Macaca fascicularis: one gene and its partner. The protein of the gene in region 1 purifies or fractionates together with the protein of each later gene. This does not show direct contact. Links are inferred from orthologs where the notes say so. Each region holds a gene or a part of one and is shown on either strand. Other genes may lie near its edges. The genes, in order: USP44 and EZH2.

Region 1 (7,047 bases):
GGTCTGTAGCAGGACCAGTTGCAAAGTGATCACTCCTTGTGCTTATAATGCTTCAAAACTTAAAGAATGCATGTAATAATTTTTTCCCCTTTAATCACCTTTCTGACAAATGAATTAACTTTTAATACCATATACTTGGGTAGTAAATGACTTACATTTGCTTATTTATTTATTTATTTTGAGACCGAGTCTCACTCTGTCACCCAGGCTGGAGATGGGGTTTTACCATGTTGCCCAGGCTGGTCTCAAACTCCTGGGCTCAAGCAATTCACTCACCTTGGCCTCCCAAAGTGCTGGCTGGGCAAGGTGGCTCATGCCTGTAATCCCAGCACTTTGGGAGGCCTAGGCAGGTGGATCACCTGAGGTCGGGAGTTCAAGACCAGCCTGGCCAACATGGTGAAACCCCATCTCTGCTAAAAATACAAAAATGTAGCCGGGCATGGTGGCGCATGCCTGTAATCCTAGCTGCTTAGGAGGCTGAGTCACGAGAATCTCTTGAACCTAGGAGACGGAGGTTGCAGTGAGCCAATATCGTGCCGTTGCACTCCAGCCTGGGCAACAAAGTGAGACTCCGTTTCAAACATACATACGTACATACATGCATCCATAAACATAAAAATAAAAATACAAAAATTAGCCAGGCATGGCGACGCATGCCTGTAATTCCAGTTACTTGGGAGGCTGAGGCAGGAGAATCGCTTGAACTGTGGAGGCAGAGGTTGCAGTGAGCCAACATCATGCCGTTGCACTCTAGCCTGAGCGACAGAGCAAGACTCTGTCTCAAAAAAAAAAAAAGAAGAAGAAAAATGTTGAGATTACAGGCATGAGCCACCGCACCTGGCAGAATATTTCTAATACCGTAGATGTCCCCTGTGTGTGCCTGTCAGTCTTGTTCCTTTCCCCTCTGCAGAAGCAAACCATTAGGAATTTTAGGTATAATATTATCTTATTGTTCTTCATCAGTTTATTGTCTTTCTTTCTTTTTTTTTTTTTTTTTTTTTGGTAGAGACAGGGTTTTGCCATGTTGCCCAGGCTAATCTGGGAACTCCTGAGCTCAGGCAGTCTGCCCGCCTCAGCTTCCCAATGTGCTGGGATTACAGGCGTGGGCCACGGCACCTGGCTGAGAGATATTGGAAAAACCGAACTCAGTTTCTCCTACCATACTCTTACAACAGAGAATACAAATGTGACCTCTGCTTACCAAAATGTGTAGGAGATTTCTCCCCACCAAGCAGGTAATCAGCTCTGCAGTGAGCGCGAGCTGGGTATCCTCTTATTCAGCTCAGTTCCAACCCTGTCTACCTGGAGGTAGCATCAGACCCCACAGATTGAGAGCTCAGTCCCACCAGACTGACCCCCACTTCTGACACCAGTCATAACTCCAGGTTTGTGGAAATTCTGACCAACCTGTTGGCTATACATTTAATGGGATTCTCACAAGCCACACTCCCCTCGTTTGATCAATTTGCTAGAGCGCCCCACAGAACTCAGGGAAACCTTCATGTTTACCCTTTTATTACAAAGGAGAGTTTCAAGGATCCATATGAACAGCCAGACGGAAGTCATGTGTAGGGCATGACTTGTGGGAAGGGGCGTATAGGTTCCACACCTTCCCTGGGGGTGCCGCCCTCCAGGGACCTCAGCATGGATAGCTATCTGGAAGCTCCAGAAGCCCATCCTTTTGGGTTTTTATGGAGGCTTCAGTACATAGGCATGACTGATTACATCATTCAGCCCCATTCCCTTTGGGGGTTGGGGACGGTATTTGGAAGGAAGCCGAAAGTCCCAATCCTCTAGTCATTCCCGGGTCTTTCCTGTGACTTGCCCACATGCTGAAGCTATCTAGGGGTTGCCAGCCACTAGTTGTCTCATTAGCATACAAAAGACACACTTTTTTTTTTTTTTTTTTTTTTTTTTTTTTTTTTTTGTGAGCCAGAGTTTAGCTCTTGTTGCCCAGGCTGGAGTGCAATGGCACAATCTCAGCTCACTGCAACCTCCGCCTCCTGGGTTCAAGTGATTATCCAGCCTCAGCCTCCCCAGTAGCTGGGATTATGGGCATGCACCACCACGCCTGGCTAATTTTTGTATTTTTAGTAGAGACGGGGTTTCACCATGTTGGCCAGGCTAGTCTTGAACTCCTGACCTCAGGTGATCCACCCACCTCAGCCTCCCAAAGTGCTGGGATTACAAGCGTGAGTCACCGCACCCAGCCAAGACACTCCAGAGATTCCAAGAATTTTAGGAGATGTATCTTAGGAAACTGGAAGGAAAACCAAATATATTTTTCACAACCACACAGAGAGTTTGGAATATGACTTATGGTCCAGCAGATAACATAATTTGCATGGTTCATCTTTAGTTCCATGCCATTTTACACTGGACTAAGCATTTTCACATTTTTTTTTTCCATCATAAAACTGTGTTCCTGTCTCTCTGTTCTCTACCTGCTGTTATTTGTCTGAAGTTCATGTTTTAGTACTTTACTACTGTATTTTTATCTATGTCTGCCTTGTCTCTGTACCATACCACCACAAACTGGATTATAATCTCTTGAACTACCACGTTACATTATTTTCCCCTCATAGGACCAACTCATTATGCGTATTGATAAACACATTGCTTGCCATGCTGAGATCCAGTAAGGGGAAGTATGAGCAACAGACTGAGAAAATGACAGGATAAGGGCGTTCTTTCAGTTCTGTCACCAGTGGGCGGTTGTGCTGACTTACACACAGCAAGGGGACACAGTTCCTGTTGTTTTAGTCTGAAAATCTCTGAAGTATTCTGAGGAATTAGAGGTGCCCTGCTTTGTTTTCCTCCATACCTGGCCAAGAAAGATCCAGATTGTAGCTCCCATCTGGGATACCCTCTTCATATCCTGGCAAGACAATAAGGAATTAAAAACCCTTTGGTGGGGCTGGGCACAGTGGCTCACACCTGTAATCCCAGTGCTTTGGAATCCAAGGCAGGCGAATCACTTGCGGTCAGGAGTTCAAGACCAGCCTGGCCAACATGGTGAAGTCCTGTCTCTACTAAAAATACAAAAATTAGCCAGGCGTGATGGCGCACACCTGCAGTCCCAGCAGGAGAATGGCTTGAACCTGAGAGGCAGAGGCTGCAGTAAGCCAAGATCGCGCCACTGCACTCCAGCTTGTGTAACAGAGCGAGACTCCATCTCTAAAACAACGAAAAACAAAAAAACCCCAACCCTTTTGTGGCCTTCACTTTTACCTGTTAGGGGGTAAATGCCCCCATAAGGCAATACTTGCCCAAAAGTTAATTTTTTTTCCCTACATTGTCATCTAACTACAAGAAGGCAAAATAAGCCAAAATTTCTCCGTTTATAGCCAACTTCAGCATTGAAATAATTTTATATTACATATGATACTTTGTATTCCATACTGCCTGGGGTCATCTGTTACAAGTGTCTAGACCTAGTACATGGTTATTTTCCCTTAATTGTGTTGATAATTTCACACTGGTTTGTTCACAGGTGGTCAGGATGTAATAACCGAGAGAAGATTGGTGTTCATGTTGGCTTTGAGGAAATCTTAAACATGGAGCCCTATTGCTGCAGGGAGACCCTGAAATCCCTCAGACCAGAATGCTTTATCTATGACTTGTCTGCGGTGGTGATGCACCATGGGAAAGGATTTGGCTCAGGGCACTACACTGCCTACTGCTATAATTCTGAAGGAGGTATAGATAAGAAAAAGTATTTTATCTTGGGTTGGACTTGGAGGCTGGAGTTCAGGCTTTAACCAATTTCTAAATTGACTACTAAATCATAAACAAAACTACTTGACCACTTACTTTCTTAGGGAGAATACCTCTGCAGATACTAAAACATGAGAGTCGATGCATGAAATATTTTCTGTAGGTTTTGCGGTACTTTTGACTAAGGGCTAGAGAAATATAATAATGAGGATAGTCTTGTTGCCAACTAAAAGTCAGAATGTTAACTTTTCTTAAAGACACACTTCAAAAAGCAGATCGTATGTTTACTGGTTTACTTCAGTTAATTTTGTTAAAGAAATAGGGCACCTAATGAACTGGGGGATCACAGATATTTGGAACAAGCACTGTTCAAGTTTAACATACAAAACTCACTTTTATTTTCCATCTTCTAGGGTAGTCTAGTTCTAGCAAAAGTGATTGGATCGAGATTTCATTTTTTACTCCCCCATCCCCTGCCTTTTTTTTTTTTTTTTGAGATGAAGTCTCGCTCTGTCACCCAGGCTGGAGTGCAGTGGCGCGATCTTGGCTCACTGCGACCTCTGCATCCCAGGTTCAAGCAGTTCTCCTGCCTCAGCCTCCCTAGTAGCTGGGACTACAGGCATGTGCCACCACACCCGGATAATTTTTTTTTTTTTTGAGACAGAGTCTGGCTCTGTTGCCCAGGCTGGAGTGCAGTGGCCGGATCTCAGCTCACTGCAAGCCCCGCCTCCCGGGTTCATGCCATTCTCCTGCCTCAGCCTCCCGAGTAGCTGGGACTACAGGCGCCGCCACCTCGCCTGGCTAATTTTTTTTGTATTTTAGTAGAGACGGGGTTTCACCGTGTTAGCCAGGATGGTCTCGATCTCCTGACCTCGTGATCCGCCCGTCTCGGCCTCCCAAAGTGCTGGGATTACAGGCTTGAGCCACCGCACCCGGCCACACCCAGATAATTTTTTGTATTTTCAGTAGAGACGGGGTTTCACCGTGTTAACCAGGATAGTCTTGAACTCCTGACCTTGTGATCCGCCCGCCTCTGCCTCCCAAAATGCTGGGATTACAGAGGAGCCACCACACCCAGCCGTACTTTCCCTTTTGATACTTACTGTTGAACAAAGAATGAACTTCCAACTCCCCACCCCCACCCAACACACCCCAAACAGAAAAAGGTGAGGACAAGAAGCCCGATAATCCACCAAGGTAACTCCACACTGAACTACCAAAAACTACCAAGTTAGTTGTACACTATTGGCTTTTTTTGTTTGTTTGTTTTTGAGACGGAGTCTCACTCTTTCCCCCCGGCTAGAGTGCAGCAGCGTGATCTTGGCTCACTGCAACCTCAACCTCCTGAGAAGCTGGGATTGCAGGTGTGCACCACCACGCCTGGCTAATTTTTATATTTTTAATAGAGACGGGGTTTCACCATGTTGGACAGGCTGGTCTTGAACTCCTGGCCATAAGTGATCTGACAGCCTTGGTCTCCCAAAATGCTGGGATTACAGGCATGAGCCACCATGCCCGACCCAATTTGCTTTTTAATACAGATTGAGTATACCTTGTCTAAAATGCTTGGGACCATATGTGTTTTGAATTTTGGATTTTTTTGCATAGACATTATGAGGTATTGTAGGGATGGGACCCATATACACCTTGTACACATTGCCTAAAGATAATTTTCTACAACACTTTAAAAAATGCAAGTTTCATAAGTTTGTGTACATTGAGCAATCAGCAAACAAAGGTGTCACTGTCTCAGCCACTCATACAGTCTGGTGGTTTGGCATCAGCATAATTCCTGGCTGATTTATATGCTAATGATAAGCAGTCATTAGCATACTTATGTGCATGTAATGTACATAAGTGCATTATACTTATGTGCACATAAGTTTCACAGTAAAAAAAAAAAGACATTAATACAGTGGAAAAAAATGTGTTCAGGGTTACTTATGACATCACGTTGGCACAAAAAGTTTTGGTTTTGGATTTTTTTTTTTTGAGACAGCCTCTCTATCACCCAGGCTGGAGGGCAGCTGCACAATCCTTGCTCACTGCAACCTCCACTTCCCAGGTTCAAGCCATTCTATACTCTTGCTTCAGCCTCCTGAGTAGCTGGGAGTACAGGCACGCACCACCACGCCCAGCTAATTTTTGTATTTTTAGTAGAGACAGGGTTTCACCATGTTGGCCAGACTGGTCTCTAACTAACTCCTGGCCTCAGGTGATCCACCTGCCTCAGCCTCCCAAAGTACTGGGATTATAGGCGTGAGCCACTGCGCCCGGCCAGATTTTGGAATTAGGGATGATCATCCTGTATGATTAGTGGCAAAAGCATTAACTGGTAGATTTACACAAGGAATAAATAGTGTCAGGTACTCTAATCAGTCACATGCTGTGTAAACTTAAGCTACTTCTAGATTAAAGGTAGATAATTCCAAGGTAACACTACCCAATCTATATTTCTTGTTAAAGAAAAATGAATTGGCTAGAAAATTATTTTCCCTTCAGAAAAAGCTTCTCAGTCAATTCATACTAGAATTTTATAAAGTCCCTTCATAAGTGTATTTCTGTGCTTCACTCTAGGGTTCTGGGTACACTGCAATGATTCCAAGCTAAGCATGTGCACTATGGATGAAGTATGCAAGGCTCAAGCTTATATCTTGTTTTATACCCAACGAGTTACTGAGAATGGACATTCTAAACTTTTGCCTCCAGAGCTCCTGTTCGGGAGCCAACATCCCAGTGAAGATGCTGATACCTCGTCTAATGAAATCCTTAGCTGATCCAAAGACAATGGGGTTTTCTTCCTGTGATTTATATATATACTTTTAAAAAGACTGATGTACCATTTTAAACTTTTCTTATGAATCAGTGTATATACTACATTTATACATTTTTATATCTAACTACAATTTTTTTTTTTAACAAAGTATAAATGTGTGTATCAACTGAAGGTAACTACTTTTTTCAAATATTTGGAGTTTTAAACTTTTGGTGTTTACCTCAGGCTGATGTTACCTCTTTTATATTTTTATGTCTTAATTGGCTTGGATCATGAATTTGTGCAATCTTCTACCAACAAAGTTCGAGTGGCATCATTTTATATACATGTGTTATCTTTTTCAGGTATTTTCTATACAAATTCTTAATAGATGGAAAATTAGACTTTGCTTGGTCACTAATAGTCTTTCTTTCATTTGTATATTGAAGTTACCTTGCCCGTTGGAGTTATTGAAGTGACATGTCAAGTTATCACCTAAATATTCTTCAGTCACACTCACTGGTATTTCTGAGGCTTTGTGTGTTAACAGGCCTTGTAATAGACATTATTTTGGT
Region 2 (8,063 bases), on another chromosome or scaffold:
CCACAATCATTTCTTCCCTGGCTTATTACAACGGACTCATCACTGTCCTCTCTGATTTGGCCCCGGCTCCGCTTCAGGCTCCTTTCAACACAGGAGCTAAAATGATCTTGTTTAAATGATCATATCACCTTTTTGCTCAAAATCCTCTCATTTTGTAAAAGATAAAGACCTAACTATGGTCCACAAGGAGCTGAAAAATCTGCTTGTGCCTCCTACATTCTTCAACATCATTTCCTACTTTTCTTCCCCTTCCCGTCCTATAGCACATCAGCCATGCTTCTGCCGCGGGCCCAGGCACTGACTGGCCCTTCTCTCTGCCTAGAACAGTCTTCTCTCAGTAAATTCTCCCTCAGCTCCTTTAAGTTTTTCTTCATATGTCACCTTCAAAATGAGGGCTTCCCTAACCAAGTGGTTTTTAAAAAATTATTTTATTCCAAGGCTGGAGTGCAGTGGTGCCATTTCACTGCAACCTCTGCCTCCCAGGCTCAAGCGATCCTCCCACCTCAGCCTCCACACTAGCTGGGACTATAGGCACTTGCTACCATGACCGGCTAAGTTTTGTATTTTTGGAAGAGATGAAGCTTCGCTATGTTGCTCAGGCTGATCTAGAACTTGTGAACTCAAGTAATCCTCCATCTCAGTCCCCAAAGTGCTGGGATTACACGCGTGAACCACCTCACGTTCAGCCCCAAGCTGTTTTAAAATTACAGCATTTGCACCCAAAACTTCCCTCTTCCCATGCCTTTTTTTTTTTTTTTTTTTTTTGAGACGGAGTCTGCTCTGTTGCCCAGGCTGGAGTGCAGTGGCGCGATCTCGGCTCACTGCAAGCTCCGCCTCCCGGGTTCACGCCATTTTCCTGCCTCAGCCTCATGAGCAGCTGGGACTACAGGCGCCCGCCACCACGCCGGGCTAAGTTTTTCTATTTTTAGTAGAGATGGGGTTTCACCATGTTAGCCAGGATGGTCTCGATCTCCTGACCTCGTGATCCATCCACCTCGGCCTCCAAAAGTGCTGGGATTACAGGCCTGAGCCACTGTGCCCAGCCGCCCATGCCTTCTTATTTATTTATTTATTTTTTTGAGACAGAGTCTCGCGCTGTTGCCCAGGCTGGAGTGCAGCGGCGCGATCTCAGCTCACTGCAAGCTCCGCCTCCCGGGTTCACGCCATTTTCCTGCCTCAGCCTCCTGAGTAGCTGGGACTACATGCCCCCGCCACCGCGCCCGGCTAATTTCTTGTATTTTTAGTAGAGACGGGGTTTCACCGTGGTCTGGATCTCCTGACCTAGTGATCCGCCCGCCTCAGCCTCCCAAAGTGCTGGGATTACAGGCGTGAGCCACCGCGCCCGGCCTGCCTTATTTTTATTACCACCTCATGTTCGGTATAATTATCATTCAGAGTAAGCACTCCACAAATGAGTGCTGAATAACGTGTGGAAAGTAAATCCCATTTTTGGGGTTGAAAGGGAGGTTCTGAGAAGTCAAGGGATGCAAAGGGAAGTTCTGCGATGTTAACAGCCTTAACGTGGCACTTCATCTTCTCCAGCTCCCCCAGGACAACCCTGAGGATCAGCTGTGTGCCGGGAGACCTAGGCCCTGGGGTTACAACAGTGAAAAAGGTAGTGCTACTTCCTGACTTTGGGGCTTAAGTGTTTTTGGTTTCATCTTGTAACTTTAATACTGAATTTTTGTTGTTCACACAAGGCAGAACAATCTTTACACAGAAATGAAAAAGCTTGGTGATCCTCAACCTCCATGTCCACCTTTGCGTTTAGCCTGGCTTTCTGCTTCATCTACACCCCTTGAGTAACTGGCATTTACACACACACTTGCTCATATGTTTACTATTCATTACACATATTAAACATATTTTTTCCCATTGAAATAGTCACAGAGGTCTGTACAATGGGCTTGTATATTTTCTTGCTTTCCTGGGTTAGACATCTTCAGACTTTTTTTTTTTTTTTTTTGTAGCAAAAGCAAAATACTTCTTCCCCCTCCTAACTTTGCTGTATTTGTCATATACGGAAAGGAGTCGCAAGACACCATACAAACCCCACATAAAATGAAATCCTTCTGGACTATTTTCAAATTATCCCTTTTCTGCCATTACTGTGGCCTAAACTACCTTGCTTAAATGGATAATATCATTAAGAAAATACTGTGATCCACTGGCATCCCTTACCCTAGCCTTCATATTACATTAAATCTGTTATATATATATTTAATATCATCCCACCTAGCTCTTTAATGGTTAGAGTCCAACCGACACACTCTTCTCGGTGGGAATGGTCGTTCTATAAAGTTCTTTTTACATGTTTCTGTTTTTTCCTAACATTCAGTTGGTGCCAATAATCATATTTTGTCCAATCACTTTTTTTTTAGAGACAGGGTCTCATCCTGTTGCTCAGGCTGGAGCGCAGTGATGCCATCATAGCTCACCGTAACCTTGAGATCCTGAGCTCAAGCAGTCCCCTCCCTCGGCCTCGGGGGCAGTTGGGACCATAGGTACTTCCGTGCCACCACACCCATTTATTTTTAAAGTTTTTTTGTAGAGATGGGGTCTTGCTATGTTGCCCAGGCTGGTCTTGGAGCTTCCCACCTTGACTTCCGAAAGTGCTGGGATTACAGGTGTGAACCACTAAGCCTGGCCTGGAACATCTTGATCCATCCATCCCTTGATTCTAAACGTCTAACAATTTATATGACATTTCACACCATGTTGCATATATTTATATACTGCTTTGATTTGCTTTATGGTAGTCTCTAATTTCATTGATCTTCCTCTTAAAAAATGTCGTTTTACTATTTAATATTATAGGACTGATAAGTTCAGTAATTTGATAAGCAACTTAGGGATAAGTAGTTAATTTCTGAGGTTTAAGTTGCTGGTTTTAAAAAATTGCAAACTGCTGGCCTAGATAGATGCATTTTATCTTGGAAAATGAATGTATTGGTGACTGTAAGTAATGACAGCTATAATTCGTTACGTTATTTTACAGTCACATCTCAGTTGCATAACTTACTTTTTGCAGTCTTATCATTGATTCACAAGATAATTTTGCTTTTATCTGAGCACATGATTGCTTGTTTCTCCTTATCTTTTAGCTTCCCTTCATATATACTTTCCAACATTGGCGTGGTTCAGAATATATGTGAGGAATGGAATGGTGATTTAGGAAAGGCGGGAAAATTATGGGCTAAATCACCTGATGAAAAATTATGGCCCGGCGCGGTGGCTCACGCCTGTAATCCCAGCACTTTGGGAGGCTGAGACGCGTGGATCACAAGGTCAGGAAATCGAGACCACCCTGGCTAACATGGTGAAACCCCGTCTCTACTAAAAACACAAAAAATTAGCCGGGCGTGGTGGCGGGCACCTGTGGTCCCAGCTACCCTGGGAGGCTGAGGCAGAATGGTGTGAACCCGGGAGGCGGAACTTGCAGTGAGCCGAGATGGCGCTGCTGCACTCCAGCCTGGGCGACAGTGTGAGACCATCTCAAAAAAAAAAAAAAAAAAAAGAAAAATAAAAATTAAAATTCTAGCTAGTTATTAAAATCATTAAAAAGATTTCTTCAGATTTTTACCCCAACATCATAGGTGGCCTTTTTTCAGTGTCCAGTCTGAACTATCAATATGGAATCTCAGTTTACAGGACAATGGTATTTTACCCCATAGGTACATCCTAGTAAAAATAAATTCGGGATACTCTTAACTGCATTGTCACATGAAGCAATAGGAGAGATTGTATCCTAAGCAGAAGCCCCCTAATTCCTGAGTTGAGGCAGGTTGACCCCCCCATAACTAAGATCATTGTTTAATCACTAAAAAATATTGCAAATATCCTTACACTTTGCAGAGGCGGCAAGTGAACAGCGCTCATCTTAATAAACGATTTTTAACACTGACACTTGCTTGGCACTACAAACACTGGAAGGGTCTGAAATGGCAGTAATGTCACCCTTTCACAGGTTTCTAGGGCGATAAGCACTGCGAGCTCAGCCAAAGTCCAGCGGTGGAGGCGGGGGGCGGGGGGCGGGGCGGGAAGTGGCCGAGGCAGCAGCAGGCAACATCAACGGGACCCGGGCCGGGCGCTGTGGCTCACGCCTGTAATCCCAGCACTTCGGGAGGCCGAGGCGGGCGGATCACCTGCAGTCGGGAGTTCGAGACCAGCCTGACCAACACGGAGAAACCCCGTCTCTACTAAAAATACAAAATTGCCGGGCGTAGTGGCGCATGCTTGTAATCCCCGCTACCCGGGAGGCTGAGGCAGGAGAATCTCTTGAACACGGAAGGCGGAGGTGGCGGTGAGTTGAGATCGCGCCATTGCACTCCAGCCTGGGCAACAAGAGCGAAACTCCGTCTCAGAGGGAAAAAAAAAAAAAGAAGTAACGGGGCCGGCGGCAGCGCGCGGGCCGGGCGAGCGTCTCCCCGCAAAGGCCGCGCCGCAGCAGAGCCGACCTCCGGGGCCCGTGCCCTCCCCTCCCTGGGCACCGCCAGGAGAGGCCAGCTCGGGCCTCGGCACCGCGCGCGGGGAAACGAGCGCGGCGGTTAAAACCGTTACCACCCCCGAGTTTTGAACTGGTTCAAACTTGGCTTCCAGTCCCCGCCTCGCCCCTCCCCTCCCCTCCCCTCCCCCGCCCGGGAACTCCGCGGCGCCGGTTCCCGCCAAGAGCAGCCGGCGCGTCGTCCCGCCCTTCGGCCCGTTCCCGCCACCCATCCTCCCCGCCTCCCGTTCGCGGTGGGCTCCGGGCCCCCGCGATGTCTCCCGGTCCCCGCCTGCCTGCACACCGCCTTCCTGAGAGGCGCCGTGTGTTCAGCGAAAGAACAAAGAGACGGCGGCAGCGCTTCCACAAGGCCAGTCGCGTCGCTTCAAGCGAGCCCCGCCACCGCCCGCGCGCGCACGCGCCACCACCGCCCGCCCGCGAGCCCTGAGCGCACTCTGCGTGGGGCTGGCTCGGCGCCTCCGAGCCCGGCGGGCCCTGTGATTGGACGGGCGCCCGCCTAGCGTCCCGCCAATCGGGGCGGTGCTTGATTGGGTTGGGGGGGCCAAATAAAAGCGATGGCGATTGGACTGCCGCGTTTGGCGCTCGGTCCGGTCGCGTCCGACACCCGGTGGGACACAGAAGGCAGTGGAGCCCCGGCGGCGGCGGCGGCGGCGGCGGCGCGCGGGGGCGACGCGCGGGAACAGCGCGAGCCGGCGCGCGGGACGAAGGTAACGCGCCGCTGCGGGCGGCCCGGCCGGTGGGGCTCCAGGAGTGCGAAGCGGGCGGCGGCGGCGGCGGCAGGACCTCCCCGCCGCTGCTGTGCCGGTCCCGGGTATCGCCTAAACGGGGCTCACCCGGGCGCCGCGTTTGTAGGCGTGCGGGGGGTGGAGGGTGAGGGGAGACCCCCCTCCCCGGAAGGAGCTGTGAGCTTAGGGCTGGCCAGCGGGAGCCTACGAGTGGGGCAGCGCGGACCCCCGGAGCTGCGGGGCGGGGGGCGTGTGGGGGGCAGCTTTCCCGGTGCCTGCCCTGGCCGGGGCGCCGGGGCCGGGGTCGGGGCGTTCCGGTGCCCGGTCCAGGGTGGCAGCTCGAGCCTCAAGTCTCCTTTGTGTGGCGCGGCCGCGGCGGGAGCGCCCGGGTGGGACGGGACAGACACAAGTTGGTGGGACCCAGCCGCCGAGTCTGCACTCAGACAAAGGACGGACTGTGTCTCCGGAGGTCTCGGCGCGAGGGGAAGGGGCATGACACCCGGGCCCGCCGGCGGGCGGGAGAGGGGCGTGGGGAGGCGCGGGCCGCTGCCGGGGTGGGCAGGGCTCGGCCCCAGCCCCGCGCACGCCCCCATCCCGGGCGCGCTGACCCCGGGCTGGGGCCGCGGCGACCGCGGGACGACGTTCGCGGCGTGGAACTCGGAGTAGCTTCGCCTCTGACGTTTCCCCAGGACGCACCCCGAAATCCCCCTGAGCTCCGGCGGTCGCGGGCTGCCTCGCCGCCTGGTCTGGCTTTATGCTAAGTTTGAGGGAAGAGTCGAGCTGTTCTGCTCTCTATTGATTGTGTTTTTGGAGGGCTTCCTGTTGAATTCCCACTTCATTGTGTACATCCCCTTCCACTGCCCCCAAAAATCTGTGCCACAGGGTTACTTTTTGAAAGCGGGAGGAATCGAGAAGCACGATCTTTTGGAAAACTTGGTGAACGCCTAGTGAGTTCCCACTTTCTAAAGAATCGTAATCCTTAAACATTACAAGCTGTTTTGGCCAACTTGTGTGATACATCTGAGAATGGCGACAGGTGCTAACGAAATCAACTGTCATTCAGCCAGAGATTATTTCCCAAATCCCGACGGGTTGAATGAGGATGAGGTGGTAGAAGTAGGTGATCAAAATAGAATGGCTATGACAAATGTGTGTTTAGATTCTATGGTTAGCAGTTTCTTAGTAATTGGTCTCGTTTTCTGTGAACAATAGCTTTGGTGATTCAGAAAAGACTGGATGCAGAAATGTTTGTTGCCTAAGAAATTTAACGTGTGCTGTCCACAGTTAAACTTCCTTTGTTTATCACACAGTATCTGTAACATTTAAATTCATTTGGAAATAAAAATGTATCTTTGATGTTTACTTAAAGGCTTGCTTTTTAGGGTTCAAGGAAGTTATTAGCTTAATTTTGTGGAGTTTTGATGTCACCATAAAACAGCATTTAATAAACCTTTGAAAAACACGAATGTAGTCACGGTTGAATGTAGTCAATACTTTTAGGGGTTTTGGAGTTTATTTTCTATTACTCTTCATAAGCATTAGCAACTAATTCATATTTAAGAATACGGATCAAGTGTGTAATCCTAACTTGTTTATTTGTAAATTTTATTTGCAAGAAAACAGAAGTATTTAAGATATATTTTAATGTTCTATTCATGGTCTCTAAAGTTAGGAATAGGTAGGATTCTAGTCATAGATATAAAGCATGTTGTTCTCTCTTTTTGGAGATGTGTTGGGTTATGTAATATTTAAGGTTTCCCGGAAACAGGAACATTGCATCTTAAATTCTCGTTTTTGTGGAAAGTGAGTATATTCCAGGAAAACAAGTTAGAAAAACATAGGCGTTCTTCTGGTTGCACTGTCCTATGTGATAAAGATCTAATGTGCATCTACTAACTTATGGTTTCTTAAAAATGGAGACAAATAAGTGCAGTATAAATTTATTACATATATTTTGGAGAGTGTTGACACCACTGTACAGGCATTCCAGGTGCTGGTCTAAGTGTTGAGACATTATAACAAAAAAATAACGTTTATATTAATTACTAATAATTCTGTATTAAAAAATCCTATTAATAATCTTGTCCATTATGAGATGAGCTAGTTATGCAGATATTTGGCAGAAAATCGGATATTTTAAGATAATTTTTTTTTTTTGAGACGGAGCCTTGCTCTGTCGTCCAGGCTGGAGTGCAATGGCCCTATCTGGGCTCACTACAATCTCTGTCTCCTGGGTTTAAGGAATTCCCCTGCCTCAACCACCCGAGTAGCTGGAACTACAGGCACGCACCACGACACCCGGCTAATTTTTGTATTTTTAGCAGAGGCGGGGTTTCACCATATTGGCCAGGCTGATCTCGAACTCCTGACCTCAAGTGATTTACGCGCCTCCACTTCCCAAAGTGCTGATCCAGATGTGAGCCACCATGCCCAGCCTAGGATAAAAATTTCTAACTTTGCCCTTGCGTGTTCTGTATTTGATAATTACTGTTCTTTGTACTTGCCGTGAGATATTTTGAAAAACATCTCTTTGGGAAATTGGTTTAAAAATTCATCTTAAATTATTTTCTGGTACAACTCAGAATGTATTTAGTCAGTTTAAGTAGCAGTGACTTAAAAAAAAAAACACACTTGTTTATCTAGTGTAGTTAGAAAAAGTTCTGATACTTTGATACCTAGCTTTGCCTTGCACAGATAAATATAAGTGAATATCTTTATGTTGGCCGTTTAAAAATTTTAGGCAAATTTCTCCAAGTCCTATTGGAATTTTCCCAGAATATCTTCCTGCTTTTGAGGTAGTGTGCTCAAGGATTGTGAATTTATTTCAGTATTAC

What was found.
Region 2: the proteins of USP44 (region 1) and EZH2 purify together in Homo sapiens (affinity purification with western blotting; 3 studies listed by BioGRID, with this or other methods). This does not show direct contact. The link is inferred for Macaca fascicularis from reciprocal best matches to the Homo sapiens genes USP44 and EZH2.

What each region holds. Positions count from the first base shown.
Region 1 is NC_088385.1:102,567,745-102,574,791, reverse strand, and holds part of USP44 (ubiquitin carboxyl-terminal hydrolase 44), read left to right. Parts: coding exon 1-1; intron 2-3,493; coding exon 3,494-3,699; intron 3,700-6,294; coding exon 6,295-6,494; 3' UTR 6,495-7,047.
Region 2 is NC_088377.1:190,535,655-190,543,717, reverse strand, and holds the start of EZH2 (histone-lysine N-methyltransferase EZH2), read left to right. Parts: upstream 1-4,026; 5' UTR 4,027-4,232; coding exon 4,233-4,303; intron 4,304-4,779; exon of another isoform or gene 4,780-4,912; intron 4,913-5,075; exon of another isoform or gene 5,076-5,211; intron 5,212-8,063. UniProt on the Homo sapiens protein: Polycomb group (PcG) protein. Catalytic subunit of the PRC2/EED-EZH2 complex, which methylates 'Lys-9' (H3K9me) and 'Lys-27' (H3K27me) of histone H3, leading to transcriptional repression of the affected target gene.